2 linked regions of the Anolis sagrei genome follow. The protein of the gene in region 1 purifies or fractionates together with the protein of each later gene. This does not show direct contact. Links are inferred from orthologs where the notes say so. Each region holds a gene or a part of one and is shown on either strand. Other genes may lie near its edges.

Evidence for each region.
Region 2: the proteins of USP4 (region 1) and EDC3 purify together in Homo sapiens (co-immunoprecipitation; 3 studies listed by BioGRID and IntAct, with this or other methods). This does not show direct contact. The link is inferred for Anolis sagrei from reciprocal best matches to the Homo sapiens genes USP4 and EDC3.

The regions. Positions count from the first base shown.
Region 1 is NC_090022.1:75,209,003-75,225,266, forward strand, and holds the start of USP4 (ubiquitin carboxyl-terminal hydrolase 4), read left to right. Parts: upstream 1-9,435; 5' UTR 9,436-9,531; coding exon 9,532-9,791; intron 9,792-10,124; coding exon 10,125-10,252; intron 10,253-11,755; coding exon 11,756-11,886; intron 11,887-12,720; coding exon 12,721-12,847; intron 12,848-13,891; coding exon 13,892-14,037; intron 14,038-14,389; coding exon 14,390-14,451; intron 14,452-15,847; coding exon 15,848-15,988; intron 15,989-16,264.
Region 2 is NC_090029.1:21,431,713-21,448,045, reverse strand, and holds the start of EDC3 (enhancer of mRNA-decapping protein 3), read right to left. Parts: upstream 5,985-16,333; 5' UTR 5,947-5,984; coding exon 5,883-5,946; intron 705-5,882; coding exon 527-704; intron 1-526. Other genes in the region: cytochrome P450 1A5-like, read right to left, coding at 13,948-14,236. UniProt on the Homo sapiens protein: Binds single-stranded RNA. Involved in the process of mRNA degradation and in the positive regulation of mRNA decapping. May play a role in spermiogenesis and oogenesis.

The sequences.
Region 1 (16,264 bases):
CCAGTGGAACATTACAGCAAACCCAAATACCTGGGAGTTACCATAGACCATGCTCTGACCGAAGCGCTGCTTGAATATCAAGCAAAAAATGGGTGCAAAAAATGAAAGCTGACTGGCACAACCTGGGAATCACAACCAGAGATAGTGAAGACATCTGCCCTTGCGCTTTGCTGCTGTTGCTGAATACGCATGACCAGTGTGAAACACATCTCACCATGTTAAAAACAGTGGATGTGGCTCTTAATGAGCTATGCTGCATTATCACAGGATGTCTACGCCCCACATCACTGAAGAAATTACAGTATATTCTGGCGTATAAGACTACTTTTTAACCCAAGAAAATCTTCTCAAAAGTCAGGGGTCGTCTTATACGCGGGTGTAGTCTTATGCATGGGAGTCGTCTTAACTCTATATTTTAACTGGAAAAGTTGGGGGTCGTCTTATATGCCCAGTCGCCTTATATGCCGGAATATACGGTATACTGTTTAGCCAGAATTGCATCACCTGGCATCCACCAGGAAGTAGCAGCCAATAATTAAAGGACTGAGCCAGTGACATCTCCAGCCCATCCCCTGTTCAGATATCAGGCAGCATGGCAACACCTTAAATCAAGAAATAGCTTTCTAAGATCTACAAAGAAAATCTCAGGAACGCCTCAGCAAGCAAGAGTCCAAAAGTGGCAGGCTAAAACCCAAAACCTCAATCCATGACTGATACCAAATGAGAGATTCCCTCCTGGGCACACAGAAGACTGGGTGACTTGGAGGGTGCTGAACATACTGTGCTGTGGCACCTTAAGAAATGGGGCCACAGTCCACGACATGTGAGTGTGGAGAAGAGCAAACCACAAACCGCCTATTACAATACAGTCTGAGCTCTGCCACATGCACAATGGAGGACCTCCTTACAGTGACACCAGAGGCACTCCAAGTGGCCAGCTTCTGGTCAAAGGATATTTAGTATCATGCCATGTTTTTAACTTTGTTTGCATTTTCAAATACATTACAACTGTACCCTCAATTAGCTTCTGACACAATAAAATAAATAGGTGATTCAACCACCTGTTTATAAGGCCCCTTCCACACTGCTATATAAACCAGATTTATTTTATTTTGTGTCAAAAGCATTGCATAAAATAGTTTATCTAAAAGTTATAAAATAAAGGGATCACAAGGTGTTAGATTGTTTTAGACTAAATTGCCTGATTTTACTACCCACAGGAATATTCTTGCTGTTGCTGGAGGAACATTTTACTTACTTCCTTTACTTGGGCGATCCCTCGTTGGCTGAGTAGGATAGTCTTCCAGGATCAGTATTCTTGTGGGTCTGTAAGTGGCTGTGGAGCCCTATTCTTGACCTGCATCTTCTTCCACAGTGAGGGCATTGGTTTCCAGGTGGAAGGCGGTCTCAGTTGGTGTTGGCTTGACGCGCCTTCCTCTTGGCACGTTTCTCTTTTTTGCCCTCCATTCCTGCCTCTTCAAATTCTGCAGCACTGCTGGTCACAGCTGACCTCCAGCTGAAGCACTCAGGAACATTTAGAGGAGTGGTGGTTATCATGAAACTTTCCCTTGATTTAAGTCTCCTGGGAGGAGGCTGATAGCCATGCAGTGGGTGGCTTTCACAGTGTTCAACCTTATTTCTCTTGCAAGTGGCAGCAACTTCTTGTCACACATCCGCGCCGGGGGGGGGGGGGGGGGCAATGCCAGCTAGTTTATAGTCTTATCAACAGGTGCAGGTTGCAAACATCCTGTGAGTGTTCTTCGTGTCTCATTCAGTGATATTCACCCACTTTGCATGGGCAGATTTATGCCAGACGGGGCAGGCATGCTGAGCAGTTGCGTCCAGCCCGAAAGCATTGCTTTACAACATAATTCAGATTCTCAAAGTGGATACTCCACATTATCCACTTTGAACCGGATTATATGAGTTTACACTACCATAAAATCCATTTCAAAGCAGATAATATGGATTTTATATGGCAGGGTAGAAGGGGCACAGGATTAGAGAAGTCTGGAAGGCACAGAAGGCGCTCTATTAAAAAGGGCATGGTGCCACTGAAGCACATCACCAACTTTTGTTCTTTCTTTCGGCCGAAAAAAGGAAGGGCTCATTGGGGAGTGGCATCTTCATCTTTGCCAACCGCCTTAATGCCGTAATGTGGCAAAAGAGATGAGATTGTGTTTCTCAGAAGGCGTGTTTGAGGTAAATTGTACTTTGCTCCTAAAAGCAGGGTTCAATGAAACCAAGGGAGAGAAAACACGAGCTTTAAGTAATGGCCAAATTGCACGGTCTCCAGTGTAATGGTCGGGAAGCAACAAAGGCGCCCCTTGAGGGAAGTTAGAGTCGCGCATGCGCAGGACTCTCTCAACTCAATACGGCCAGGTTGCAAAAAGTGCCGCCGGCTACAAGGTCAAGGAGAGTGGGCGGAGCTTGTGCGTTAGTGGGCGGGGCTTGTATGGTGCTATAAAAGGCAGGCCCGCGCTTGGCTGCTTGCATTTGCTGCGTGGTTCGTACAAGCGCTGTAGTGATGGCTGGTCTGTCTGTGCGTGGTTTGTCGGGGCTGATGGCGCGACCGCTGGGAGCGAAGGAGTCCGTGGACTTAGGCTCCTTCGCGGGGCAGGTGGTGCTGGTCTCCAACGTGGCCTCCCTCTGAGGCACCACCACCCGGGACTACACGCAGTTCTCGGAGCTCCAGCGGCGCTTCGGGCCCCGAGGGTTCGTCGTGCTCGCTTTCCCCTGCAACCAGTTCGGCCACCAGGTGAGTTCGGCTCTTCGAACAGTTGAATGAGTGGGAAGAGGCGGGCCGTGCGCCCCTCCTGGCGGAACCCAGTACTGCAGGGATACCCACGCTCTGGCGCTGCTTCTAACTGGCATGGCTCAAATGCCAAAGGCGCCTGGGAGTTGTGGTTTTGCAAGGTCTTTAGCCTTCTTTGCCAGAGAGGGCTGGTGCCAGGCATCCCTTACTGGAAAGCTGGGAAGCTCCTCCTTTTATATAATATCTGAAAGAGATGCCAAACCCCCTTTCTTTATATGGGCAGGCACAGCTTTGGGTGCAGTTACACCAGGCCTGGGCAAACTTGGGCCCTCCAGGTGTTTTGGACTTCAACTCCCACAATTCCTCACAGCCTCAGGCCCCTTCCTTTGCCCCCTCAGCCGCTTAAGGAAGGGGCCTGAGGCTGTGAGGAATTGTGGGAGTTGAAGTCCAAAACACCTGGAGGGCCCAAAGTTTGCCCATTCCGGATCTAGAGAGATGCATCCTGTCATTTTATTTTATTTTGCAGACAAATGCATAGCTAGTTGAATCACTCATTTGGAATTTACCAAGCACAAACAGCATGTTGATACAGGTGCCAGCATCCTTCAGCCAAAATTTTGAAATAAGCCACAATCCCTAGATAGTGACACCCTTGCTTTCAGCTGACTCAGTGCACACAAACTTTTCTCTCATGGACAAAATTAGATTTAAAATGATGCATAAATTACCGTTAGGCATATATGGAATATAATAAACTTTCTGATTAGATTTGGGTCCCAACACCAAAATGTACATAAGTATCAGCAAAAAAACATTTCTGGTCCCAAGCATTTCAGATAAGAGGTGCTCTGCCTGTAGCTGCTTTCTGGTTGCTCTTGATAGCGCTTTTCTGAACGTTACCCAACATACCATGAATTTCAACTGTCTCTTATTGCAGTTTTGAAAACATGATATTTCTAGCACTTTTGGTAAAAGTTACTCAGTTTCCTAGGTTCTCGCATCATTAGTTTGTCAAATGAGTTGAAGGGAAATCTGGCTATAATTCAGGTTCTAGAAACAGGATTGTTTTTGCGACTTTCCACACTTTCTCAAGCCATCCGCATGCTCTTCTTCCAGCTCTCTCAGGGCCCTTCCACATCTAACCCAGAACATCAAGGCCAAAAATCCCACAATATCTGCTTTGAACTGGGTTATCTAAGTCCACACTGCCATAGATTCCAGACTTGGAAAATCAAGCTTTTATATGTTCTAGCAGTGGGTTTATCTATCAAGGTGTCTTTGATGCTGAATAGGGATGGAGCTGGTGGTTGGGGTCCTTTTAGCAAACACAAAGAGGAATATATATATTTTTAAAAAGGGATAAACTCAGATGTCCACCCTCGGTTGTGGATACCTAGTTATTCTGGAAGGACAAAGCATGGCAGACTGTTTTAAGACCAGTTGCATAAAACCATCCAAATATAGTACATGTTATTCAACATTACCCACTGAAGTCCTTCCATGATGTGTGGGTCAGTAAGAAATGTTTCAATTTAGGTATGTTGTTTCTATTGATAGAAAAGGTGAGCCAAGCCCTTTTAATGCATTAGCTACTGCAAGATTTAAGGAAAAGGGAGTATTGCAGCCTCTTTAAAACTAACAGAACAATGTCAATATAAACAACCAATAATTATACTCCACTTCCACAGATGCTCTTAAATACAGATGCCAATCACATCCTCCACCCCCCCCCCCCCACAGCATAGGACCTAAGGTGGTTTATAGCAAATAGCAAAACCCTCTAGTACAAAACTTAAAAATTATTGGTACAAAGATTAGGCACTTAATTAAATTAAGATTGAGCTAAATATAATAAAAGTACAATGTGCCTCATTAAAGCTTCCCTTCTGTCACATGAGTTAAGAGCCAAAGACCTTCTTAAATAAAAAGGCCCTTGCTTGCTAGCAGAAGAAAACAACTGAACTGGAACCACGCTAACCACAAGTTTGGGTGGGAGGGGGTCACAACCTTGGAGCAGTTGCCAAGAAATCTCACTAAATGTATCTGTGATAGTGGTGAGACTGAGAAAAATCCACTTTAAACACATCATGCAGGGAAGGAAATGAAGTACCAGAATCCTGCATGCAACAACATGATTTAACAACTTGAAGCAGTTACATTTTGACTAGGCTGGAAAGCTGCAGAAGAAAAACTTGAGGTGAAATGTACCCTTTACTTTGGACAGGGTCAATTCACATGTTTTCCTTGGAAGGCTGTATGACCCCCTCAGTTGAAAGAGCTTGGATCAGATTATTATTGCATATACTCATGTATAGGTCAATGTCATGTATACGTTGAGGGCAGGTCTTGGGGCCAAAACTATGGATTTTGATATGACAGGTGGATAAGTTGAGGGTCATTCTGCAGAGAGAAGAAAGCACCAATGTAGCCTCAGTGGCCAGCCACCTCTGTTAAAAACAGCACCATGATGGAGAGAGCAGAGAGGGTTAGTAGCGCTTTAGGTTCTCCCAGAGCAGGCTAAGGTCCTTTAGAAGGAAGCTCAAGACTTGGCTGTGGGACCTTGCGTTTGACCATTGAATAGCGGCTTGTATGAAGAAGACATAAGCAGTTTTGAAGTGATAATGAATTCACCCGGACCCGGATTTTAATTGGCATGTTTTAACAACTGTTTAATGTTTTGTTTGAATGAATTTGTTGATTGTTTTTATCATTATGATGGCACCGAATGTTGTTTGTTGTGAGGCTGCCCCGAGTCCCCCCTCAGGGGTGAGAAGGGCAGGGTACAAGTATAAGAAATAAATAAATAAGGTGTTACCTTTTGCCACTCTGCTCAGAGCAGGAATTGTTCTTTTTCTGAGAGAGTTAAAGTAGAGCACTCATATTAACCTGTAGATAGGCCTGCCCAGGTTTGGGTCTGAGTTTTTGTCAAATTCTGTATTTATTATTCAGTATATAGCTTACTCCTAGGAAAGGATTCATCTAGTATGCTTTCTGCAGCATCTCCCCAATATACTTATGATCAATTGGGCAATATGTTATGGGTTTTTCCTGTATTGGAGGATGCAGATAACTGTTCCCTAAATGTAGTTCCGTTTTCAAACTGTAGTTTCTGTTAGAAACCGAAAACTTCAAGTTAGTGCTGTGGCAATAAAATCTTATGAAATCTTTTTTATGCTGCAATAGGTTACATTTTTTAAAAATTTGAAAATTCCATAATTTCAATGGCAAGTAGAAAAGCTGGCATATCAGTCCATTGGAATGTATATAAGAATATATTTTGGCTATATTTCATCTAACTACTAGTGACAAAGTTTGGAGGGAAGCAAAGGATTAAATGCTATTTGCTGAGCTGTGGATTTAAGATTGTGTCCCCTCTATCCTTTAACAGGAGAATACCACCAATGAGGAGATCCTGAACTCACTGAAGTATGTCCGCCCAGGCAATGGGTATGAGCCTAACTTCATTGTGTTTGAGAAGTGTGAGGTCAATGGGGAAAATGCTCACCCACTCTTCAAATTCCTGAAAGAAGAATTGCCATACCCACATGATGACGCTGTGTCTCTGATGACACACCCACAGAACATCATCTGGTCTCCTGTGTGCCGCAATGACATCGCATGGAATTTTGAAAAATTCCTCATTGGTCCGGATGGGAAACCATTCAAACGCTACAGCAGGCGCTTTGAAACCATCAAGATCCAGGATGATATTGAAAAGCTGCTTCAACAAGTTCCTTAGAGCAAACCATATTATATCTTGCTGAAATGTCTTTCCACCTCTTTGCTTTCAGCTAGAATTACCCTAGGGTTGAATGTATTAATTCCCATGTTACAGTACATTTATTGTATGTCCCATATTAAACACAGCAATCTCATTGTGTGAAGGGAAATTATGTATGTGAATTACAACAGCAAAGCTTTTCTGAAATTGAGCAGTTTGTTTTTATGCTATAATGTGAATTGTACCTTTAGCTATTTCCTCTCACCTATAAGGCATAAGGTGACACTTATGTCTTGTGGTTTCTAAATGTGCTATAAAGTTAATAGGTACCCATTACAGCATAGTATCTCTGCTAAGTCTATCAATCTTTTGTTCATCCCTAGTCCGCATACACATTAAACATTCCAGATATGTGTTTCAAATATTACAGTTTAGTATCAACACAATGTGCTGTAGCATGTATGGCTTAAAATCATACTTTGTGAAGCAGCAATACTCCTGAGTACCAGACTTTGTCCTTTTCTGCACTGCTTATTTTTCTATGACTTGTCAGCTGTTTTCTTGATATTAATTTTCTATTCTCTATCAAAATTTTATTCATGATGGTGCTTTTTCTAAAGCCTTGAAAAGCACCTGATCTTCTAAAAGTTTGTGTGAAGCTATAGTAAATTAAATTGGGAAAACAGTTGACTGCAGCAGTTTGTGAAAATCATTGTCAAACAATAAAATGCTTGAAAACCATAGCTATAACTGAGCTATTTGTATTGCAACACAAATTCACTTATTTGTTCCAGTTTTTGTTCAGATAATGCATGATGAGGACACTTTACTACTATATTTACAATGATCTCAGAGTCTGCAGTCTACATTATTATTCACTTCTGTCTTGATCAAATTGGTTAGTTAAGTTTTTTAAAAAACAACAAAAACACCCCATCTTGAATATCTTACTACCTTTTCCAAGATGCCCTAAGAGCTAGAGTCTTTCACCTCCAACAGCACAATATATTGAACAGTTAAAATGAAATAGCCCTCCTTGAAGTTAGAATATAAAAGCCAAACTAGATCAGAGGAGTGGGTAGCATATACAGAGTAACATTGTCATCTGCTTCAATTTCCATACTCAACTGAAACAAATTTGCCTAAAGCCCTCCCTTTCAGTTTTGGAAACCCAAAGCTGAAAGGACAGAGCAGAGAGCTTTCCTGACTGTACAACACATTACATAGATGGGGAAATCTCTGTAGGAAGACTCACCTAGCATATATCCTCTGAGCTTTTCAGAACTAAATACATTTGCCTTTTTATATATTTGTAAAACTGGTGACACTTCTGGAGTTGAAATTTGTGGAGATTTATTCAGGTGTTATGCCTCTTTTATATGCCATTGTTTTAGTATAAGCTGCTAGTTATTAAATACCCCAAACCAGTAAATTCTAAACCTAGCTTGCTTATTACTGTGACATGATGACAGGTGAGCAATGAGAGCCAGAAGCTATGGCTTAAATATAAGCTTAATACAAATGGAAGGAGAGCTGGTATCTCACATAGAGTTCTACTATATTTATGGGGAAAAATAAGAGGTCTCTTACACACAGCTGAATAAAATTCCACATTTTCTGCTTTGAACTGGAATATATGGCAATATGGACTCAGATAACTCAATTCAAAGGAGACATTGTGGGATTTTCTGCCTTGATATTCTGGGTTATATAACTGTGGAAGGGGCCTAAGAAACAGGATACTTCAACCAGTCATAAAACTAACAATAGTGCCAAACAGACTGTTCTCACAACAATTCACTTACTAGCTATTGCCTGACTCTTAGTTGCAAGACTGCTGAACAAAAGGTCAGTGGTTCAAATCTGGGGAGAAGGGTGGGCTCCTGTCTATCAGCTCCAGCTTCCTGTGTGGGGACATGAGAGAAGTCTCCCACAGGATGGTAAAACATCTGGGCATCCCCTGGGCAACATCCTTGCAGACGGCCAATTCTCTCACACCAGAAGCAACTTCCAGTTTCTCAACCTCTGAGGATGCCTGCCATAGACGCAGGCGAAGCATCAGGAGACAATGCTTCTGGAAAATGGCCAGCAACCCAGTTTCACATCCCAGTTACATGATTCTGATCACAGTCCAGTTTAAGAGACTCTTTTAAAAAGTTTTTCAAGGGTGCATCTACACCAGGGGTCCTCAAACTAAGGCCCAGAGGCCGGATGTGGCCCTCCAAGGTCATTTACCCGGCCCTTGCTCAGGATCAACCTAAGTCTGAAACTACTTGAAAGGACACAACAACAATCGTATCTCATCAGCCAAAACTAGGCCCACACTTCCCATTGAAATACTAATAAGTTTATATTTGTTAAAATTGTTCTTCATCTTAATTATTGTATTGTTTTAAGTGTCTTTTGCACTACAGATAAGATATGTGCACTGTGCATATGAATTTATGGGTTTTTTTTTCAAATTATAATCCGGCCCTCCAACAGTTTGAGGGACTGTGACCCAGCCCTCTGTTTAAAAAGTTTGAGGACTCCTGATCTACACTGTCGCTCAGGTATGGACAAATCTGGGTCCTCCAGATGTTTTGGACTCCAACTCCCACCATTCCTTACAGCCTCAGGTCCCTTCCTTTTTCCCATTCAGTCGCTTAAGCAAAAGGAAGGAGGCTTGAGGCTGTTAGGAATGGTGGGAGTTGGAGTCCAAAACCCCTGAAGGGAGGGCCCAAGTTTGCCCAGGCCTGCTGTAGAATAAATGCAGTTTGGCACCACTTTAATTGCCATGGCTCCATGCTGTGGAATCAAGGGAGGTGCTGTTCTACAAGGTCTTCAGCCTCCTCAGGCAAATTGTGTGGGTGCCTCACCAAACTACAGCTCCCAGGATTCCAGCGCATGAAGCCATGTCAGTGAAAGAGCTGCCAAACCGCACCCACTCTTCGGTGCAGATGGACCCGGGCGGGCACCCTCGTCGTTGCCCTCTTCGCGCAAGGCCAGGCTGAATCCGGGTCTCTCGGGCGGCCTGCCGTTCTCATCCGCCAGGGCCTGGGCGTCGAGGTCGCGCATGCGCAGTGCCGCCCTTGGGCGTGCGACGGGCGAAGAAGGCGAGCCGCAGTTGAGAAGAGAGGAGAGGAGAACTGGCCGGCCGGCAGCAGCAGCGCGCGCAACCGTCATGGCGGCCGCCGAAGCAGGGTTCGAGGGCGGCGGCGGTGGCGGCGGCGGCGGCGGCGGAGGAGCCACGGCCAGCCCGAGGCCGGACGCGGGGACGCAGCGGGCTGAGCTCACGCCGCTTTTGGGGACGCCGCTGTGCCCGGGGGAGTCCTGGTGAGGAGGAGGAGGGCTGGCTCGGGGCTAGGCCGCGCGCCTCCCCCCCTTCCCCGCGGGGGCCGTTGGCCTCCGAATGGCCACGCGCGCGGCCGGAGGGAGGGGGCTGGGCAGGAGGGAGCAGTGCGCGCGGGACGGCGGCCCTGAAGGACCTTTCTTCTTTCCTCCTGCCTCCCTCCCTCCCTAGCCGGCTGCCCCGAAGGGGTGCTGCTGAGTCACCGCCCCGTCGACCCTTAGCAATGCCTTCCCGTCCTTCCTTCCTTCCCTCTCTCCTGAATCTTGGGCCGCCCCACGCACACTCACCTCGGTGCATTTTTCGTTTCATAATTGTAGGTACCTGATTGACAGCCGGTGGTTCAAGCAGTGGAAGAAGTACGTGGGCTTTGACAGCTGGGACCTGTATAATGTGGGGGAGCCTAATCTCTACCCAGGACCCATTGACAACTCAGGGCTTTTTGCAGGTAAACATGGTTGGGGGGAAATAAAAAGGGTTGGGGAGGGTAGGTTGTGTGGGTTTGGCAAGGGCGAATATATCTGGAGGCTTTATGCCCTCATATTCCAGCCTCTTCTAGGCGTGTTTTCCTAATTCTGAAGTAATATTTGGACCTCCCTTGTAATAAACTCTTGGTTGTGGAAGTTATAATTGGTTTCTAGCAAGTGTTGCAATCCAAACTGCTTTTGAATTCGAGAGGAGAGATTCCACCCTTAAATTAGTGTCTCAACAATTGCTTCTCACACCCTTACTGCCATTTGTTTGCTCACCTTCCATTCCTTCACTTAGTGCTGATTGTGAGGGTTTTTTTTTCTTACATAAAAACAGAAAGAGAACTAAAGAAGACATATGCTGGTGGCAGATATGATCACAGCCCCTTCATAAGTTGGTATATTTAGTGGGCCGTTGAACTTCAGATGTTTAGACATATGTGTTTTGCAATCTTTGGATGTCTCAATCAGTTCCTTCTTAGAGCTTTAGTTCTCAATCAGTTTTCTAACATTGATGCAAGGATCAGGTTTGTGATATGCTGAACTTGGTAAAGTGACGCACTTAAAATCTAAATATCTTTTCATTTGCTGCCCCCCTTAGTATTCTGAAGATCCTTGGGCTTGGATTTCAGTGTTGCTCCTCCTTTCAGGGAACTTCCAGGGAAAAGTGAAAGGGAAACTAGAGTCAGCTGGAAATAATATTTGAACAGGCCTTCAATAGGTTTAAGATGACACATTTTACAGAAAGTTGTGACTGTCATGAATTTGGCAGAAAGCAGTACTAAATTACTTGTTTTCTTTAGAAACTCTCTATATCAAGGGTGGGGGAAGTTTGCCCTGAGGACCAATCTGTGTACGTGGAGAGGGGGCAGTCATCTGACTCTTCTTTCTCCTAGAAATCATGCTTTTCTTCTATGTGCAAAAAGAAGTAGAAACTGGCTTCATAAATTGGTAATACCAAGGCTTTATTTCACATTCCATTGAGATCAGTGACAACAGCAGGATTCTCCCTGGCCTGCAGCTTGTTTTCCCAGTTGGAATGGCAAACTGCCTGTGGGAGAATCACTCCAAAACAAGTAGCAGAACTTAGGAGAGGAACATTACTTGTAGGCTGAGTCTAGTGGGTCAGTTTGGTCCTATAGGCTGGAAGATCATGTCCATTGCTGCATACCATTATGAAAAAAATAGTATGTGTCCTTTAGTTTTATAAATTCTTATTTGCTTTATCTTCCAGTTCTGTGCGGTACAATTTTAGGAAGCCTTCAATATCACACAGTTTGAAAATGTATTTGAATAGATTAGATGTTTTATTTTTTGAACACAAGGTAATGGTTTCTGAGTAACACTCCACATGGGCATGACTATTTGAATTGCCTGTGAAGATTTTCAAAGGTATCTGTTTGGCTGCTGCTTTGAAGGATGGCTGTGTGTTGAATTGTTTGCTCATTTTTCTGAGTGTAACTTATTCCATTTCCTTTTAGATTCAGAAACTCAGACTTTGAAAGAGCACCTTATTGATGAATTGGATTATGTGTTGGTTCCTACTGAAGCCTGGAATAAGTTAGTAAATTGGTATGGCTGTATAGAGGGACAGAAGCCAATTGTGAGGAAAGTAAGTGTTTGTGATCCTAGTATGATTTCTGGTGCAATCTGTCTGTATGTGGTTCAGAAATAAATCCCATTGAGTTCTGTTTTCAAAAATTCCTGTCTAACTGTGTGCATTTCTCTCTGATCAAGAAACAGACATGTCTGCATTGACTTTCCTTCACTTTTCTGACTTTTATATAGGACTAGAAGAGTCTAGTCTTGGGAGTTGTTGCTCAGTTGTAATTCTAACCAGCTGTGTTCTGCCTTTCCCACCTGTACATATCTATCACTGTCCTGGCAGCTTCCTACACTTTTCTTGTAATGTTATTGCCATTCAATTGGTCACATATTGGTCACAACTCCTCCACCTGTCCTCCTGAAAATTTTCAGGGATTAAAAAAAATGCTGGAGCATCTTAACTTTGTAAGTGTTTGTGCAACTTGGCCACAAAACACAAGGATTCTGTGGCACCTTTTCTAAAAATACAAACTTCTTTAATTTAAATCCCTTGTATCTGTCTGAAATTTGCAAAGTGTTGTACATTTTTCAGGGTTCCACTCTTTATAATGTCCTGGGAAGATATCTGAGAGCAAGAAAAAGAGGCAGCTGTCCCTCCCCAGTAGATATGTATGGCTAAAGACTACTGGGAACTGAACATGCAGTTTTATAGAATCTTTGCTTAGATAAATAAAATGACTGACAATGTGTTTATAAATGAGTGGATTTGAGCAAGAATAATTTGCTACAGATTTTATATCCATTAAAAATGTGATAGAAGTGAAAATGAAGGGCTGGTTTCATAAAATATTTTGCTGTCTAGATGTTTGTACCTGTCTCACAAAAAGTTTTTTCTTCTTAGGTTGTGGAGTATGGATTGTTTGTGAAGCACTGTAAAGTAGAGGTTTATCTTTTGGAGTTGAAGCTATGTCAAAACAACGACTCTACTAATCTTGTAAGCTCTTATTTCAGCAAAGCAGATACTGTGGGTGAGTCATTCTTAATGCCACAAGTCCTCTTTCAACACTTCTACATGCCTTATAATAATTTTTTAGAAAACTATACAGAGCAGGAATAGTTTGCTATTTTCTGGGGGTGCCTTGTAGTATTCTTTACATTCTGTTGAAAATAGCTAATTTCCTGTAAAATGGTAAATGCTGTTTGTCTGATATACATATATCATTGCAAAGTAATGTGCTGCTATATTTCAGTTCTTATCTTTTGACCTTAGCTACTGCTAGTGGCTATTTTGAACTTCAGATGTTCTTCTTGCATTAAAAAAATTCTGCTTGGAGAGTAATATAGATTGAGTATCTTTTATCCAAAATGCCTGGGACCAGATTTTGATATATCTGAGTAATGGCGGGAATCCAAGTTTAGTGCTTGATGCAAATCCACACCTCCACCATTATACAGATAGTTTGCATATTATCACTCCAATCTTTGGTCTCATTCATTTGCTACTTGTGCTGTGTATGGGGTGTGTGACTGGACTGATGATAAAAGTGAAGTGACATTTGGGGAACTGGGAGTACAGTTCTGTACAAGAGATCTCTGAGCAGCCTACCAGCTGCCCACTTCCACCTTTCAAAAAACAGGCAGGAGTGCAGCAACTACCATCTGCAAGAAAGCAGGACACTGATATAAGAAAGTTTTAGATTTTGGAACATTATGGGTTTTAGGATTAGGAAAAAACTAATAGGTTTATTTTGAAGGGAAAAAGAGATTTCTTATGTTTAGAATGAGAATATACAAATAGTTTATGCCGTGAAATTTAAATTCAAAACTTTCTAAATTTAAATATATGTTCCAATCTTCAATTTATGATCCCAGGACCCAGGATTATTAGATTAATATAAAACCATTCTACATATGTTAGACCAGTAATAATAGTGCAAAGTAATTCAGATGAATGTGAACTTTTAAAATGTATTTTGTGCCAGCAAGAAAGTGTGGGAAAGGATTGCATTTTTAATAACCCATTATTAGCAGCTGCTAAAAATACATGGTGTGAGTTTTTTTTTTCTCTTCAGCTACCATTGAAAAAGAAATGAGGAAACAGTTTAATATTCCTGATGGAAAAGAAATTAGATTATGGAGCAGATATATGAGTAATACCTATGAACAACTAAGCAAACTTGACAGCACTATACAAGATGCAGGTCTCTATCAGGGACAGGTAAGAAATCTAAATACTTTTATTGTTGTATCCTAAAATGTTTTGGTGGTGATGATGGAATTTTTGGTATCTTGTATCAATTCTAGTACTACCCTTGTAAACTATCAGTATTGATTGCACTTTTTAAAAAAAGTGATTTGAATGCAGATTTAGTTAGACCCTTAAAATTATTGGTGTTAACATTTGTCACTGAAATCAGTTTGGCAGTGACTCCTCTATCTCTATTGAGCTACTTGTAGGCGGTTAGAAACTGTTTTCGCTTAGTTCTTTCTTAAGAAAGCATTAATTTGTTTGTTTTTTGTACATTCTCCTAAAAATCACAACACTGTTATTTTTTATTTTTCATTTCTAGGTAGTATTAATAGAGATAAAGAATGAAGATGGCAGTTGGCCAAGACAATCTTCACAGACAAAGTAAACATTTCTTCTTTTCACTTTCGATACAATTGCTCAGTGAAGAATTGGCTCTGGGAGATATCATTATTCAACCTGGCATTGTTCTGACTTATTTTTCATTTTTTTCCCAACTGTGTTTTCATTGTATTTTGTTTTGTTTCGGTGTTTCGGTGTTTAATTATTTAAGACTCTTAAGTCTGAGGAATATAATTTGGGCAAAAAACTAGTACACAAAGTGGGCTCCCTTTTAAGTTTTATTTTATGTAGCCTTAAATAATTGAATTATACTTCTACATTACAGGAACAATATTTTTTCTTTAGATGCAGTGAAATGCTCAGCAATTTCTTCAAAGGAAAGGGCTGTTTATTCTAAACACTACTTCATTCTTAACTGAGCCTGTTCCCAAGTCATTTTCAACCACTTGAGCTATATATTATAACTAGGTGAATCAACTTTGTTTGGTTGTGCATTTTTATAAAAATCACTGTTAGATTCTTCAAAATGTCGTAAAAGAGTTAGATAATTAATTTTAAGGTAGTGTCTAAAGCTGCTTCATTTTGTTGTCGTTGTCTTTTTCTTCTTTGCTGCTCCTGCTGTAAACACAGTGTGGCAATGTTGGGATTGCTTCAGAGTTTAAAAGAAATTAATCAAGCTATTCCTTAACTTTTGGGAGTTTTTTGCAGTGTTATTTGTTTCTGAACTTGCTACAAACTAACATTCTGCCTTGGTTACTGTACTGGGAGAAAGGCAGGCTATAAATTAAACCAATAACTGTTAAAAGACACTAACTTAAAAGCTCTGGCGCAGTGTCCAGCTGACAAGTGTCTTTTTTCCTTTAGAATGGTGGTGTACATTGAAAAGACTGGTGTTATGAACCTCTACTTGGGGGACTTCATTGTTAAACTGTACCTAGGAATCAATTGCAAATTATCGGAAATAATACTTGCTATCTTTTATGCCAGTTTAAAAATGCACGTGAGCCAGTAGATGCATGTCACTACTGAGAAGAGAAACTATACTTTTGGGAGAAGCAAGAGGTTTAAATTAATGAGTTTCAGTACCTGGTACAAGCATAGGGTTTCTAAGCTGTGATTCAGCAATCTTTTAGTTGGAAGTGGCATTTTACAGAGTCCTTTATCATATCTGAAACTGGCTACTGTATTCAAGGCTTTGGCAATTAAATGTGGTTGTTATTTTCACTGTAGAAAAATTTCACACAGAATGAATGAAACTGAATCCCTAGTACTTGTCCTGTATAATTGAAAATGCTCCACTTTATCTGGTACCTCAGTCTTTCTGTCTTACTCTGTTGGAAATCCAGAAATACCCAATAGGTTAAATTACTATTCTGGAAAAATAACAAACACACACAAAGAATCTGGAAAGTATGACAGCTTCTTCTTTTTTTCCCAGATCAAGCACTGCAACAAGCAGAAATCTAGCTACCTCTTCAAAATCATCAGCAGGTTCTTGCTCCTCAGTAGTTGCCTCTTCAACCATTACAAATGGTGATAGCAATAACTCCTATGGTTTGAACTCCAGTCATGGCAAAGGGTAAGAGGAATGCGTCGTTTATGTACATTCCTTTCTCTGAATGCTTTTATACATTCTATTCTTTATTAAATAAGGTCCTGCCCTGGAGGGAGTCGTGTCTGTCCTGTTTGCAAGCTTGCTATGTGTATATCTATTGTATATACAAACAGGCATTTTAATTGTTCTAACTTGTATTTATTTGAGTTGGTAACATTTCTTTTCAGACGTGCCAGTTATTTTTATTTTGTAACAGCCTGTTGTTATACAGTAGCTGATGGAAAAACACTGCAGTCTAGT
Region 2 (16,333 bases), on another chromosome or scaffold:
ATTAAGACCCTCTCTCTTGTCCTCACCAACTGTACACTTCAGTTATGCAGCAAGCAAATATAAAACCAAACCAAAGGCAGAAGTCAAAACATTCTCATAAATATGGGTTTACCATTGTGGCAATCATTACACACAAACAGTTCTCAAAGTAGCTAATGCTTTGGGAGACAATGACAGGGCATTTGGACAATGGAGCCAGTTCAGCAGAGTTGATGGCGGAAGATCATCGCTTCTATGCTCATAGTCTTTGCTTCTTCCAGCATGCTGACGTTTGTCTGTCTGTCTTCCCAAGAGATTTGCAGGATTTTTTGGAGGAAACGCTGATGGAATCGTTCCAGAAGTTAAGTGTGACGCCTGTAGATGGCCCATGTTTCGCAGGTGTATAACAGGGTTGAGAGGACAAAAACCTTGGTATCCCTACGAACATCACGATCCTCAAACACTCTCTGCTTCATGCAGAAAAATGCTGCACTAGAAGAAGTTTCCCTGTCAAAGGCTTAAGGAAGGAGGCAGAAGGAGCATTTACCTGAAGGTGACTTCGGGTACCAAGCACTTCACTCCATTATGGAAAGGCCGTGTTAAGGAGATGGTTTGGCTGACTTGATCCACAGCAGACACTCTTCCTTGATAGACGCCCAGGCTTTCTCCGCAGTTGATGGAGACAACACTTCCAAGCCAATCTGCAGCCATAGCTTCCTTGATCACTGTAAGAAAAAAATGCTGTCAATGGAATGGGACACTAAAAAACTTCATGTATTGTGATAGCCCCACAGCACTCTACAGACCATCCTCCACATTTGCTTGGGTTAGGAGTGTAGGACCCCAGTAAAATTGGAAAAACACAGTATGATTATTAGGAAATAATAATGAAAATAATAATATTAGAAAGGCATGGGATAAATGGATAAGGCTATAATCGACCCATTTTTCCTTTTAAATCTCAGGTTTAAATAATAATAATAATAACAACCACCACCACCACCTTTGGGATAAATAGGGGACACTATCACCAACCCACTGTCCTTTTAAATGCCAGGTTTAAATAATAACAATAATAATAATAATAATAATAATGGCAATAAAACCTTTGGGCTCAATGGGGGACGCTACCACCAACCCATTTTTCTTTTTCAATGCCAGGTTTAAATAATGATGATGATGATGGCAATAAAACCTTTGGGCTCAATGGGGGACACTATCAACAACCCATTTTCCCTTTTCAATGCCAGGTTTAAATGATAATAATAACCACAACAACATTAATAATTATAATAATGACAATAAAACTTTTGGGCTAAATGAGTGAGGCTTTCACCAACAGATTTTTCCTTTTAAATTCCAGGTTTAAATAATAATAATAGTAGAATCATAGGGTTGGAAGAGACCTCGTGGACCATCAAGTCCAACCCCATTCTGCCAAGAAGCAGGAAAATTGCATTCAAAGCACCCCTGACAGATGGCCACCCAGCCTCTGTTTTAACTCTTCCAAAGAAGGAGCCTCCACCACACTCCGGGGCAGGGAGTTCCACTGCTGAATAGCTCTCACAGTCAGGAAGTTCTTGCTCATGTTCAGGGGTTTATTATAGTTATTATGTTATAATATTATATGCTATAATAATAATGGCAATACAACCTTTGGATTAATGGCTATGCCTGGCCTCCATAGACACACTAATGCAGGCCTGGGCAAACTTGGGCCCTCCCTCCGGGTGTTTAGGACTTCAGCTCTCTCCATTCCTAACAGCCGGGAGGAACTAATGTTTGCACTAATGACTATTATTATTATTACTTTACTGACACAAAAGCACAGTATGTCACAGCAAAAAAGATCTCTATGCTGGATTTTGTATCACAAAAAATCACAAGTCGAACCCTTCCCAAGTGTCTAGGACTGTGTGATGTATTTTCGAATGATGCGCGCAGATCCAAGTCAGACGGCCTTTTGCAGTTGACAGATCGTGATTTTGTCAATGTTTATTGCTTCCAAATGCCGGCTGAGATATTTTGGCATGGCACCCAGTGTGCCCATTATTATCACTGGGACCACCTGGACTGGTTTATGCCAGAGCCTTATAATAATATTATAATTATTATAAATATATAATGTTTATATATTAATATATAATATTAATATAATTAGAAAATGTGGACCATTTCTGCTTCCTTGGCAGTCACCTCTCCACAAAAGTCAATACAACACCGCCTGAGCTCAGAGAGTGCAGCAGTTTTTCCGAATGAAGCAGAGAGTGTTTGAGGACCGGGACATCTGTAGACCAAGGGGCTTGTTTATAAAGCCATTGTCTTCCCAACCCTGCTATATGCCTGCAAGATGTGGACTGTCTACAAACATCAACATTGAGACTGAAATACAACACCGCCTGAGCTCTGCGAGTGCAGCGGTTTTTCCGAATGAAGCAGAGAGTGTTTGAGGACCGGGACATCTGTAGACCAAGGGGCTTGTTTATAAAGCCATTGTCCTCCCAACCCTGCTGTACGCCTGCGAGACGTGGACTGTCTACAAACATCAACATTGAGAATGAAATACAACACCGCCTGAGCTCTGAGAGTGCAGCATTCTTCCAAATGAAGCAGAGAGTGTTTGAGGACTGGGACATCCGTAGGGATACCAAGGTGCTTGTTTACAAAGCTATTCTCCTCCCAACCCTGCTATCTGCCTGCGAAACGTGGACTGTCTACAGACGTCACATGCAACTCCTGGAACGATTCCATCAGTGCTGCCTCCGGAAAATCCTACAAATCTCATGGGAAGACAAGCGGATAAATGTCAGCCTGCTGGATGAAGCCAAGACCACCAGCACTGAAGCAATGCTCCTCCACCATCAACTCCGCTGGACCGGCCACGTTGTCCGGATGCCTGACCACCGTCTCCCAAAGCAGTTGCTCTACTCCGAACTCAAGAACGGAAAACGGAATGCTGGCGGGCAGGAAAAGAGATTGAAATACGGGCTCAAAGCCAACCTGGCATAGACACTGAGAACTGGGAAGCCCTGGCCCTTGAGCGGTTCAGCTGGAGGTCAGATGTGACCAGCAGTGCTGGAGAATCTGAAGAGGCACGAATGGAGGGCGAAGGAGGGAAACGTGCCAAGAGGAAGTCATGTCAAGCCAACCCCGACCGGGACTGCCTTCCACCTGGAAACCAATGCCCTCACTGCGGGAGAAGATGCAGGTCAAGAATAGTCTCCACAGTCACCTATGGACACAACGCCAGGACACCGATCTTGGAGGACCATCATCCTCAGACTACGAGGGATCACCTAAGTAAGTAGCAGTCGACAGATCATGATTTTGGCAATGTTTATTGTTTCCAAATGCCGGCTGAGATCTTTGGGCACGGCACCCAATGAGCCAATGACTACTGGGACCACCTGGACAGGTTGATGCCAGAGCCTTATAATAATATTATAATTATTATAAATATATAATACTAATATAATATCATGCGGTGTGCGGGGCTTGATGAATGCAAAGCTGGAGTGAAAATTGCTGGAAGAAACATTAACAACCTCAGATATGCAGATGACACCACTCTGATGGCCGAAAGCGATGAGGAGCTGAGGAGCCTTCTAATCAAGGTGAAAGAAGAAAGCGCAAAAGCTGGGTTGCAGCTAAACGTAAAAAAAACCAAGATCATGGCAACAAGAATGATTGACAACTGGAAAATAGAGGGAGAAAATGTGGAGGCCGTGACAGACTTTGTATTTCTAGGTGCAAAGATGACTGCAGATGCAGACTGTGGCCAGGAAATCAGAAGACGCTTACTTCTTGGGAGGAGAGCAATGTCCAGTCTCGATAAAATAGTAAAGAGTAGAGACATCAGACTGGCAACAAAGATCCGCCTAGTCAAAGCCATGGTATTCCCTGTAGTAACCTATGGATGTGAGAGCTGGACCTTAGGGAAGGCTGAGCGAAGGAAGATTGATGCTTTTGAACTGTGGTGTTGGAGGAAAGTTCTGAGAGTGCCTTGGACTGCGAGAAGATCCAACTAGTCCATCCTCCAGGAAATAAAGCCAGACTGCTCATTGGAGGGAAGGATACTAGAGACAAAGCTGAAGTACTTTGGCCACATCATGAGGAGACAGCAAAGCCTAGAGAAGACAATGATGCTGGGGAAAGTGGAAGGAAAAAGAAAGAGGGGCCGACCAAGGGCAAGATGGATGGATGGCATCCTTGAAGAGACTGGACTGACCTTGAAGGAGCTGGGGGTGGTGACAGCCGACAGGGAGCTCTGGCGTGGGCTTGTCCGTGAGGTCACGAAGAGTCGGAGACGACTGAACGAATGAACAACAACAATATAATAATATATTATATTATTATAAATATATAATACTAATATAATAATATTTTATATCATTATAAATATATAATATAATAATGTAATATTACATTCTTATAAATGTCTTATATATATATATATAATACATTTATAAGATTGTAATATTACATTATTATATTATATATTGCCTCCCCCATTTAGCCAAAAGTTTGCATTGTCCGTAGTTCATTATATATATATATAAATATAAAATACATTTATAAGATTGTAATATTACTTTATTATATTATATATTGCCTCTCCCATTTAGCCAAAAGTTTGCATTGTTCGTAGTTCATTATATATATATATATATATAATACATTTATAAGATTGTAATATTACATTATTATATTATATATTGCCTCCCCCATTTAGCCAAAAGTTTGCATTGTCCGTAGTTCATTATTATTATTATTATTATTATTATTATATATAATACATTTATAAGATTGTAATATTACATTATTATATTATATATTGCTTGCTTGCATGCTGGTCTTGCGCTGTGCTACTCTGCTGCTGAGTATGCATACCCAGTGTGGAACACATCTCACCACGCTAAAACAGTGGATGTGGCTCTTAATGAGACATGCCACATTATCAAGGGGTGTCTGCGCCCCACACCCCTGGAGAAATTGCACTGCTTAGCCGGTATTGCACCACCTGACATCTGCCGGGAAGTAGCAGCCAATAGTGAAAGGACCAAGGCAGAGACATCTCCAGCTCATCCCTTGTTTGGGTATCAGCCAGCACGCCAACGACTTAAATCTAGACATAGTTTTCTTAGATCTACAGAGACACTCGCTGGAACACCTCAGCAATCGAGAGTCCAAAAGTGGCAGGCTCAAACCCAGCACTTCAACCAATTGCTGATACCAAATGAGAGACCCCCCCCCCCCCCCCGGGCACACAGAAGACTGGGCGACTTGGAAGGCATTGAACAGACCGCGCTCTGGCACCACGAGATGCAGAGCCAACCTTAAGAAATGGGGCTACAAAGTGGAATCCTCGACATGCGAGTGCAGAGAGGAGCAAACCACTGACCACCTGCTGCAATGCAACCTGAGCCCTGCCACATGCACAATGGAGGACCTTCTTGTGGCAACACCAGAAGCACTCCAAGTGACCAGATACTGGTCCAAGGACATTTAACCAACTACCAAACTCACAAGTTGTGTATTTTTCTGTTTGTTTGCTTTGTTCTGTTAGAAATGTAATATAATAGACTGGCTGCTCTGACACGAGAAATAAATAAATAAAATAATATATATTGCCTCCCCCATTTAGCCAAAAGTTTGCAAACTTTTGGCTAAATGGGGGAGGCAGGGGAGGTCACTCAATCTCCTTCCTTTCACAACGAAAGGCCTGGTCCGGCTGGGGCGAGGCCGAGGAGACCCCGGGCGGTCCTTCCCGGGGGAAGGGAGGCCTCCTCCCCGCCCCAAAGGCTCCCAGAAGGGAAGAGAAGGCCCCCAAGCCCTCCCTCGGCCTGCTCCCTACTCTAGGCCGGGGATAAGGCGCCGAGCAGGCCCAAAAGCGGCTCACTCACTCACTGACTCGCTTCTCCCTCCGCTTTTCCTCACAGCGTCTTCACACCGGAAGCGACAAGCCATTGCCCCGCTCTTCTGCGTCACTTCCGCTTCTCCTTCTCTCAGCGCTCACGCAGGCGCAGAAAGGACACGGCACGCCTTTCCTTCTCCAGAGGCGAAGGTGCCACTCGCAGCACGCATGCGCAGAAAGCCTGCTCGGCCCCTGGAAGCGGCTGACTATTGGACTACAACTCCCATCAGCCCCAGCCGTTGCGACCCATGGTGTGGCATCATGGGGGTTGGAGTTCAACGCTTCCTTCTTGGTGTTAGAGGAGTAATAGTCTCTCTACAACCACAGCAACTCCTGAATTGATCTGAAACACCTTGAAAAGTTCCGGAGTCGAGGGCCAATCATCATGATCGATCATGATTACCAGTTATTAATTACTAATTATAATTATATTATAGTGCTTTACTAATAATACAATATAATAGATTGTGTGTGTGTATATATATATATTGTTGTTGTTGTTGTTCATTCGTTCAGTCGTCTCCGACTCTTCGTGACCTCATGGACCAGCCTACGCCAGATCTCCCTGTCGGCCGTTACCACCCCCAGCTCCCTCAAGGTCAGTCCAGTCACTTCAAGGATGCCATCCATCCATCTTGCCCTTGGTCGGCCCCTCTTCCTTTTGCCTTCCACTTTCCCCAGCATCATTGTCTTCTCTAGGCTTTCCTGTCTCCTCATGATGTGGCCAAAGTACTTCAACTTTGTCTCTAGTATCTTTCCCTCCAGTGAGCAGTCGGGCTTGATTTCCTGGAGGATGGACTGGTTGGATCTTCTCGCAGTCCAAGGGACTCTCAGCACTTTCCTCCAACACCACAGCTCAAAAGCATCGATCTTCCTTCGCTCAGCCTTCCCTAAGGTCCAGCTCTCACATCCGTAGGTTACTACAGGGAATACCATGGCTTTGACTAGGCGGATCTTTGTTGCCAGTCTGATGTCTCTACTCTTCACTATTTTATCGAGACTGAACATTGCTCTCCTCCCAAGAAGTAAGCGTCTTCTGATTTCCTGGCTACAGTCTGCATCTGCAGTAATCTTTGCACCTAGAAATACAAAGTCTGTCACGGCCTCCACGGTTTCTCCCTCTATTTTCCAGTTGTCAATCATTCTTGTTGCCATAATCTTGGTTTTTTTGACGTTTAGCTGCAACCCGGCTTTTGCGCTTTCTTCTTTCACCTTGATTAGAAGGCTCCTCAGCTCCTCCTCGCTTTCGGCCATCAGAGTGGTGTCATCTGCATATCTGAGGTTGTTAATGTTTCTTCCAGCAATTTTCACCCCAGCTTTGCATTCATCCAGCCCCGCACATCGCATGATGTGTTCTGCATACAAGTTAAAAAGGTTGGGTGAGAGGATGCAGCCTTGCCGTACGCCTTTCCCAATCTTGAACCAGTCTGTTGTTCCGTGGTCAGTTCTGACTGTTGCTACTTGGTCCTTGTACAGATTCCTCAGGAGAGAGACAAGGTGGCTTGGTATGCCCATCCCACTAAGAACTTGCCACAATTTATTATGATCCACACAGTCAAAGGCTTTAGAATAGTCAATGAAGCAGAAGTAGATGTTTTTCTGAAACTCCCTGCCTTTCTCCATTATCCAGCGGATATTGGCAATCTGGTCTCTGGTTCCTCTGCCTTTTCTAAACCCAGCTTGAACATCTGGCAACTCTCGCTCCATGTATTGCTGGAGTCTTCCTTGCAGGATCTTGAGCATTACCTTACTGGCATGAGAAATAAGGGCCACTGTACGGAAGTTTGAGCAGTCTTTCGCATTTCCCTTTTTTGGTATGGGGATATAAGTTGATTTTTTCCAGTCTGATGGCCATTCTTGTGTTTTCCATATTTGCTGGCAAATGGCATGCATCACCTTGACAGCATCATCTTTTAAGATTTTAAACAGTTCAGCTGGGATCCCGTCGTCTCCTGCTGCCTTGTTGTTAGCAATGCTTCTTAAGGCCCATTCAACCTCACTCCTCAGGATGTCTGGTTCTAATTCATTCACCACACCGTCAAAGCTATCCTCGATATTGTTATCCTTCCTATACAGATCTTCTGTATAGTCTCGCCACCTTCTCTTGATCTCTTCAGCTTCTGTTAGGTCCCTGCCATCTTTGTTTCTTATCATACCAATTTTTGCCTGAAATTTACCTCCAATGTTTCTAATTTTCTGGAAGAGGTCTCTTGTCCTTCCTATTCTGTTGTCTTCTTCCACTTCCATGCACTGCTTATTTAAAAATAGTTCCTTATCTCTTCTGGCTAACCTCTGGAATTGCGCATTTAACTGGGCATATCTCCCCTTTTCACTGTTTCCTTTTGCTTTCCTCCTTTCTTGGGCTACTTCCAGTGTCTCAGCAGACAACCATTTTGCCTTCTTGGTTTTCTTTTTCTTTGGAACGTACTTTGTTGCTGCCTCCTGAACAATGTTGCGGACTTCTGTCCATAGTTCTTCTGGGACTCTGTTTACTAAATCTAGTCCTTCAAATCTGTTCTTCACTTCCACTGTATATTCGCTAGGAATGTTAGTGAGATCATATCTAACTGGTCTGTGTATTTTCCCTGAACTCTTTAGTTTTATTCTAAATTGGGCAATAAGAAGTTCGTGATCTGAGCTACAGTCAGCCCCAGGTCTTGTTTTCACCGACTGGATGGATGTCCGCCACCTTTGACTGCAAAGGATGTAGTCAATCTGATTTCGGTGTTGACCATCTGGTGAGGTCCATGTATAAAGCCGTCTTTTAGGTTGTTGGAAGAGAGTATTTGTTATACACAGCGAGTTTTCCTGGCAAAATTCTATCAACCTGCGTCCCGCTTCATTTTGTTCTCCCAGACCATGCTTGCCTGTGATCCCTGTTGTCATTTGACTTCCCACCTTGGCATTCCAGTCTCCTGTAATGAAAATAATGTCTCTTTTTGGTGTATTATCCAGTAGTTCCTGCAGATCCTCATAGAACTGATCTACTTCTGCTTCTTCAGCAGCTGTGGTTGGGGCGTATATTTGGATCACTGTGATGTTGAAAGGCTTTCCTTGCACTCGAATTGAGATCATTCTGTCATTTTTTGGGTTGTATCCAAGCACCGCTTTAGCGAATTTCTTATTAATTATGAAGGCTACTCCATTTCTTCGATGTTCCTCTTGTCCGCAGTAGTAGATCTGGTGGTCATCTGATGTGAAGTGGCCCATTCCAGTCCATTTCAGTTCGCTGACCCCCAGAATGTCTATCTTTAGTCTTGACATCTCACCAATAACAACATCCAATTTGCCCTGGCTCATAGATCTTACATTCCAGGTTCCTATGGTGTGTTGATCTTTAGAGCATCGGATTCGTCGTTCACCTCCAGTACCGTCGGCCGCTAGCCTTCCTTTCGGCTTTGAGCTAGCTGCGTCATCACATCTGGGGCTACTTGAACTTATCCTCTGCTCCTCCCCAGTAGCATTTTGGCCATCTTCCGACCTGGGAGTCCCATCTTCCAATGGCATACCGACATATCTCTGGTTGTACTGGTCCATTTAGTTTTCTTGGCAAGGATACTGGGGTGGTTTGCCGTTGCCTTCCCCAGGGATCACGCTTGGTCTGACCTCTCTGCCACGACCGTCCCGTCTTGGGTGGCCCTTCACGGTTTCACTCATGACATCATTGAGGTGCTCAAGCTCCAGCGCCCCGACAAGGCGGTGATCCTTTGCTGGAGATATATATATATATATATATAATATTAAAGCACTTTAATATAATTATAATTAATAATTATTAATATTATATTGTATTACATTATAATATTATAAACATTATATGTATATACAATATATTACATTATTAGTAAAGCACTTTAATATAATTATAATATATAATATAACTAATATTAGTACTGTATTGTATTACATTATAATATTATAAATATTATATATATATATATATATATAATATTTATAATATTATAATGTAATACAATACAGTACTAATATTAGTTATATTATATATTATAATTATATTAAAGTGCTTTACTAATAATGTAATATATTGTATATACATATAATGTTTATAATATTATAATGTAATACAATATAATATTAATAATTATTAATTATAATTATATTAAAGTGCTTTACTAATAATATAATATACTGGATATGCATATAATATTTATAATATAATGTAATACAATATAATACTAATAATTACTAATTATAATTATATTAAAGTGCTTTACTAATAATGTAATATATTGTATATACATATAATTTTATAATATAATGTAATACAATATAATACTAATAATTACTAATTATAATTATATTAAAGTGCTTTACTAATAATGTAATATATTGTATATACATATTTTATAATATGATAATGTAATACAATATAATACTAATAATTACTAATTATAATTATATTAAAGTGCATTATTAATAATAATATATAATATATTGTGTATACATATAATATTTATAATATTATAATGTAATACAATATAATACTAATAATTATTAATTATAATTATATTAAAGTGCTTTACTAATAATATAATATATTGTATATACATATACTATTTATTATACAATACAATACAATATAATAATAATACATTATTATATTTTATATTACATGTAAAATTACTAATAATATTACAATATAATGGTATAGTACAATGTAGTAATATATAATATTGATACTGTGCTATGCTAATATATTGTATGTATATGTATCTTGTAAGCTGCTCTACTATACATCTTTATTTATTTATATTTTATATAATATAAACATAAAATAAAACATTATATATATTGTAATATAAACATAAAATAAACCATAATAATATATAATATAAATATTTATTTATTTATTTATTTATGACATTTATGTGCTGCCCTTCTCACCCCTTTGGGCATATAAATATAGTAAATAAATAAATAAATAAATATATTATATATTATATATTATTATGTTTTATTTTATGTTTATATTATATGCTTTATTTTATGTTTATTTTATATTATGTATATATTTTGATTTATATTATATATTATGGTGATATTGTCCTTTTATTTTTAAAGCATCATGGACTGCTGCAGCCATAGAAATACAGCAGGCTCTCAGTTAACCGGCATCTGTGGTGGAGACTGGACAAATATTGTTTCTGGTTGCTTGAGAGTTGCTTATAAAATAGACCTAATACTATACCATCGGATAAACTCTGTATTGACTTGATGTTAATATTGAATGTGGATGTGGCTCTTAACGAGACATGCTTTATCACAAATGTAAACATGAGTCCTCAGTAAGATAGAAAGCAATTTTTATTTATTTTATTTACAGCATTTATATACCGCTTTTCTCACCCCTAGGGGGACTTAATACTTTTTATTAATATCTCAACAATATTCATAATGCCTTACATATAACTCTGGCTTCATGGAGGCTGATTATATATATATATACACATACATACACACACATACATAGAAGTGTCTTGCTTATCCAACCTTTGCTCATCCAACGTTTTGTCTTATCCAACGCAGTCTACCTTCCACCCGGAATAATGTCCAGGGTGGGACATTATTGTGTGTTTTGGTACTAAATTGGTAAATACCACAATTTCTACATAATGTTGCCATGTACTGAACTGCTTTTTCTGTTGATTTGTTGTAAACCAGGATGTTTTGGTGCTCAGTTTGTAAAATTATAATGTAATCATAACGTATTGTCGAAGGCTTTCATGGCCGGAATCACTGGGTTGTTGTAGGTTTTTTTGGGCTATATGGCCATGGTCTGGAGGCACTCCCTCCTGATGTTTCGCCTGCATCACCTTGATTAGCATATAATGGCCTGAAAGTTTGCTCTAGGCACTGTCAGGCAATTATATGCTAATCAAGGTGATCAGTTGAAACATTCACACCTAGCTCCAGCAGGCAAGGGTCCTTTGTCCCACCTTGGTCATTCCACAGATATATAAACCCCTTTTCCTAGTTCCAAAACACCTCAGTACCTCTGAGGATGCTTGCCATAGATGCAGGTGAAACGTCAGGAGAGAATGCCTCCAGACCATGGCCATATAGTCCGAAAAAACCTACAACAACCTAATCATAACGTAATTTGACGTTCAATAGGCTTTTCCTTAATCCCTCCTTATTATCCAACTTTTCTGCTTATCCAACATTTCGCCGGCCCGTATAAGCAAGACCTGTGTATATCTATAGACAGACAGCAATAGGAGAGATATATCAAAACAATTGCATCAAAATTCTTGGCAATGACAATAGCATTTGAGGAAGGATTTCAAAAGGGAAAGAGCGTCGAAACTATATAAAGCACTCCAGATATCATTGGGCCATATAACAGAGCCCATTATTCCTGTAAGCAGGGGTCGGTGGGAATATGTGTGTATATGTGTATAAGTCTGTTTGCATATATATGTGTGTGTGGATGTGTGTGTGTGTGGTTTTGCGCATGCGTTGTAAGTTTTGTTTTTTGGCTTTTGAAGTTTCTTTTGCTGTGTTTTTCAGTGTTTGTATGAGTGATGGTCACTTGTTGGCCTGATCGGTGTATTGTGTCCAAATTTGGTGTCAATTCGTCAAGAGGTTTTTTAGTTCGTTAACCCCACAAACGAACAATACATTTATATATACAAGCTAATGATAACACCAAAAAATCATTTTTTAAATTATCTCTTTTGTAAAAACTGAACATTGGATTAAAAGAGTTTAAAAGCACATCAAAGCATAGTGAAAATGAGACAAAGGATAACATAAAATGAAGCCACGTTCTTCTCTTTCTATAAAAAAGAAAGCAGAACCTGAGCCCCGTTGGAAAAAGTTAAATGAATATTTGATTAATTTTATTTAAACCTCCCATTTCCTCATTTTATTTACCACTAGCTGTCCCCTGCCACTCGTTGCTGTGGCCCAGTCTGTGTATAAGTGTTTTCTGTGTGTATATATGTGGTTTTGCGCATGCATCGTAATGTATTTTTATTTTTGGCTTTTTAAGTCTCTTCTGTTGTGTTTTTCAATGTTTTTATAAGGGATGGTCACTCGCTGGCCTAATAGATGTATTGTGTCCAAATTTGATGTCAATTCGCCCAGTAGTTTTTGAGTTATGTTAATCCCACAAACGAACATTATATATATATATATACACACACACACACACACACTAGCCATCCCTTGCCACGTGTTGCTGTGGCCCAGCCTGTGTATATGTGTTTTTTGTGTGTATATATGTGTGTCTGTGCATGTGTGTGTGTGTGTGTGTGTATATGGTTTTGCGCATGCGTTGTAATATTTTTTTTGGGTTTTTTTTGCTTTTTCAGTCTCTTCTGTTGTGTTTTCGGTGTTTTATGAGTAGTGGTCACTCGTTGGTTGATAGGTGTCTTGTGTCCAAATTTGGTGTCAATTCGTCCAGTGGTTTTAGAGTTATGTTAATCCCACAAACAAACATTACCTTTTTATTTATATAGGTGTGTGTGTGTGTGTGTGTGTGTGATGGAAGGTTTTCATGAGAGATGTTTTATCCTCATACATTGTGTTATTATAATGTATCTGTGTCCGTGTCTCTTCGAAGGGGTTAATTCAGGCATGGGCAAGCTTCGGCCCACCACCAATCTCATGATCAATTGCTGAATAATGTTGGCTGCTAGGACACCTCATCTATATCCATAAGGCACCGTTGAAGCTTCAACAAATGTTTTGGGCACCTAGGTGCTTGCTTATCAACCATCTTAAGGCGAAACCCATACGCCAAAGTTGAAATCCTCAATCCATGCGTTCTAGACAAACTTGAGCTCAAAGTCTTGTCCGTATAAGCAACAAGAGGCTTCCCAACCTCTGCTTCCAATTATTCAAAGTAACTTTATGTGTATCTGCAATGGTTCACCACATCAGAGTTCCACTTTGTATTGCAACTGCAAATGATGTGATGTCGTGTTAGTCTTTGCACTGAATGCCTCAGCTTGCCCCAGGCAACCCGTTCACTCCAAGGTAAATGATGGCCTCCCCGTTCCCAGCCCGATGTCTGCCAATGTCTACTTTTAGAAACGGGTCTTGATCTGGAAGTGCTCACACCTCTTGAACTTCATGCTGAGTCCATACTGAGGAGTGAAATCCACCTCTTTCCCGGGGTGTATGCTGAACTCCAGCTTCTGGACCAAAGTGGTTAAGAAGAGAAAGATCTCGCATCTGCCGATGTTTTCCCCGAGGCACCTCCTTCTCCCTAAGCCGAAGGTCAGGATCTTCTCGCTCTCGGTTCGGTTTATTCTGGACCCGTTTGCAGCCAGAAAGCGCCCTGGGTTGAAAACAGAAGGGTCTTTCCAAAGTTTCCTGGGAAAAAAGGGGGACAACACAGTCGCCAGTCACTTTCGAGTGCCATTATTGAGGAAAAGATGGGAAATAAATGAATAAAATCATCATCGCAATCATCTTAATCATCCTGCACTCATTTTAAATCGTAATGTTCTGTGTCTTCCAGTAACTTCCAACTTGAGCCACAAGGAAAGGCAGGTAAGAAATAATAATAATAATAATAATAATAATAATAATAATAATAAAAACAAGAAGATTGTGCAGACAGACTACAAGCAGAGGCACAACACCGTTGCTCAGATGATCCATTGGAACTTGTGCCACAAATACAATCTGCCTGCGACAAAGAACTGTTGGGATCACAAGCTGGAAAAAGTTACAGAGAATGAACACGTCAAGCTATTCTGGGACTTCTGGATTCATACAGACAGAGTTTTGGAGCATAATACTCCTGACCTCACTATCGTGTTAAAAAACAAAGTATGGATCGTCGATGTCGCAATCCCAGGTGAAAGCAGGATTGCAGAGAAACAACTGGAAAAGCTGACATGACATGAGGATTTAACGATCAAATTGCAAAGACTCTGGCACAAGCCAGTCAAGGGGTCCCAGTGGTGATCGGCACACTGGGTGCAGTGCCTAAAGACCTTGGCCTGCACTTAAACACAATCAGCACTGACAAAATCACCATCTGCCAGCTGCAGAAGGCCACTTTACTGGGATCTGGGATCCCAGTAAGGGATAGTTATTATTATTTAAAACACAACAAGATGAGTCCACAGCAGACAAGATCACTCTGCTGGCTGTTGTATTGGATCACATGTCGGACCCTTCCCAAGTGTTTAGGACTGTGTGATGTATCGGCAAATAATGTGTGCAGATCCCAGTAAGGTGGCCTTCTGCAACTGACAGATGGTAATTTTGTCAGCGCTGATTGTGTTTAAGTGCAGGCCAAGGTCTTGAGGCACTGCAGCCAGTGTGCCAATCACCACAGGGACCCCTTGATGCACACAGATCCAAGTCAGGTGGCCTTTTGCAGTTGACAGGCCGTGATTTTGTCAATGTTTATGCAAAGGCCCTGGCATAAACCAGTACAGGTGGTCCCAGTGGTCATCGGCACACTGGGTGCCGTGCCAAAAGAGCTGGCATTTCGAAATAATAAACATTATTATTATTATTATTGACACAAAAGCACTGTATGTCACAGCAAACGAGATCTCTATGCTGGATTTCGTATCACAAAATCACAAGTTGAACCCTTCCCAAGCGTCTAGGACTGTGTGATGTCTTTTCTAATGATGCGCGCAGATCCAAGTCAGGTGGCCTTTTGAAGTTGACAGATCGTGATTTTGTCCATGTTTATTGTTTCCAAATGCTGCTTGAGATCTTTTGGCATGGCACCCAGTGTGCTGATGACCACTGGGACCACCTGGATTGGTTGATGCCATCAGAGCCTTTGCAGTTCGATTTTGAGGTCTTGATAGCGGCTGAGTTTTTCCTGTTGTTTTTCCTCAATGCGACTTGTCATCCGGTATGGCAACATCAATCAGCCAGACTTTTTTCTTTTCTACAATCGTGATGTCTGGTGTATTGTGTTCCAAAACTTTGTCAGTCTGGATTCGAAAGTCCCACAGTATTTTTGCATGTTCATTTTCCACGACCTTTGTAGGTTTATGATCCCTTTACCAGTTCTTGACTCTTGGCAGGTTGTCCTTGTGACATAAGTTCCAGTGAATCATCTGGGCCACAGAGTTGTGCCTCTGTTTGTAATCCGTCTGTGCGATTTTCTTGCAACAGCTGAGGAGATGGTCCATGGTTTCATCTGCTTCCTTGCACAGTCTGCATTTTGGGTCATCCACTGATTTTTCAATCTTGGCCTTAATGGCCTTGGTTCTGATGGCTTGCTTCTGGGCTGCAAGAATCAGGCCTTCTTCTGTCTCCTTCAGGGTTCCATTCATGAGCCATCACCAGGTCTTCTCCTTGTAAATTTTTCCTTCAATCTTCTCAAGGAACCTCCCATGCCATGCTTTGTTGTGCCAGCTGTCAGCTCTGGTTGTTGTTGTTATTATTATTGTTGTTGTTATTATTATTATTATTATTATTATTATTATTATT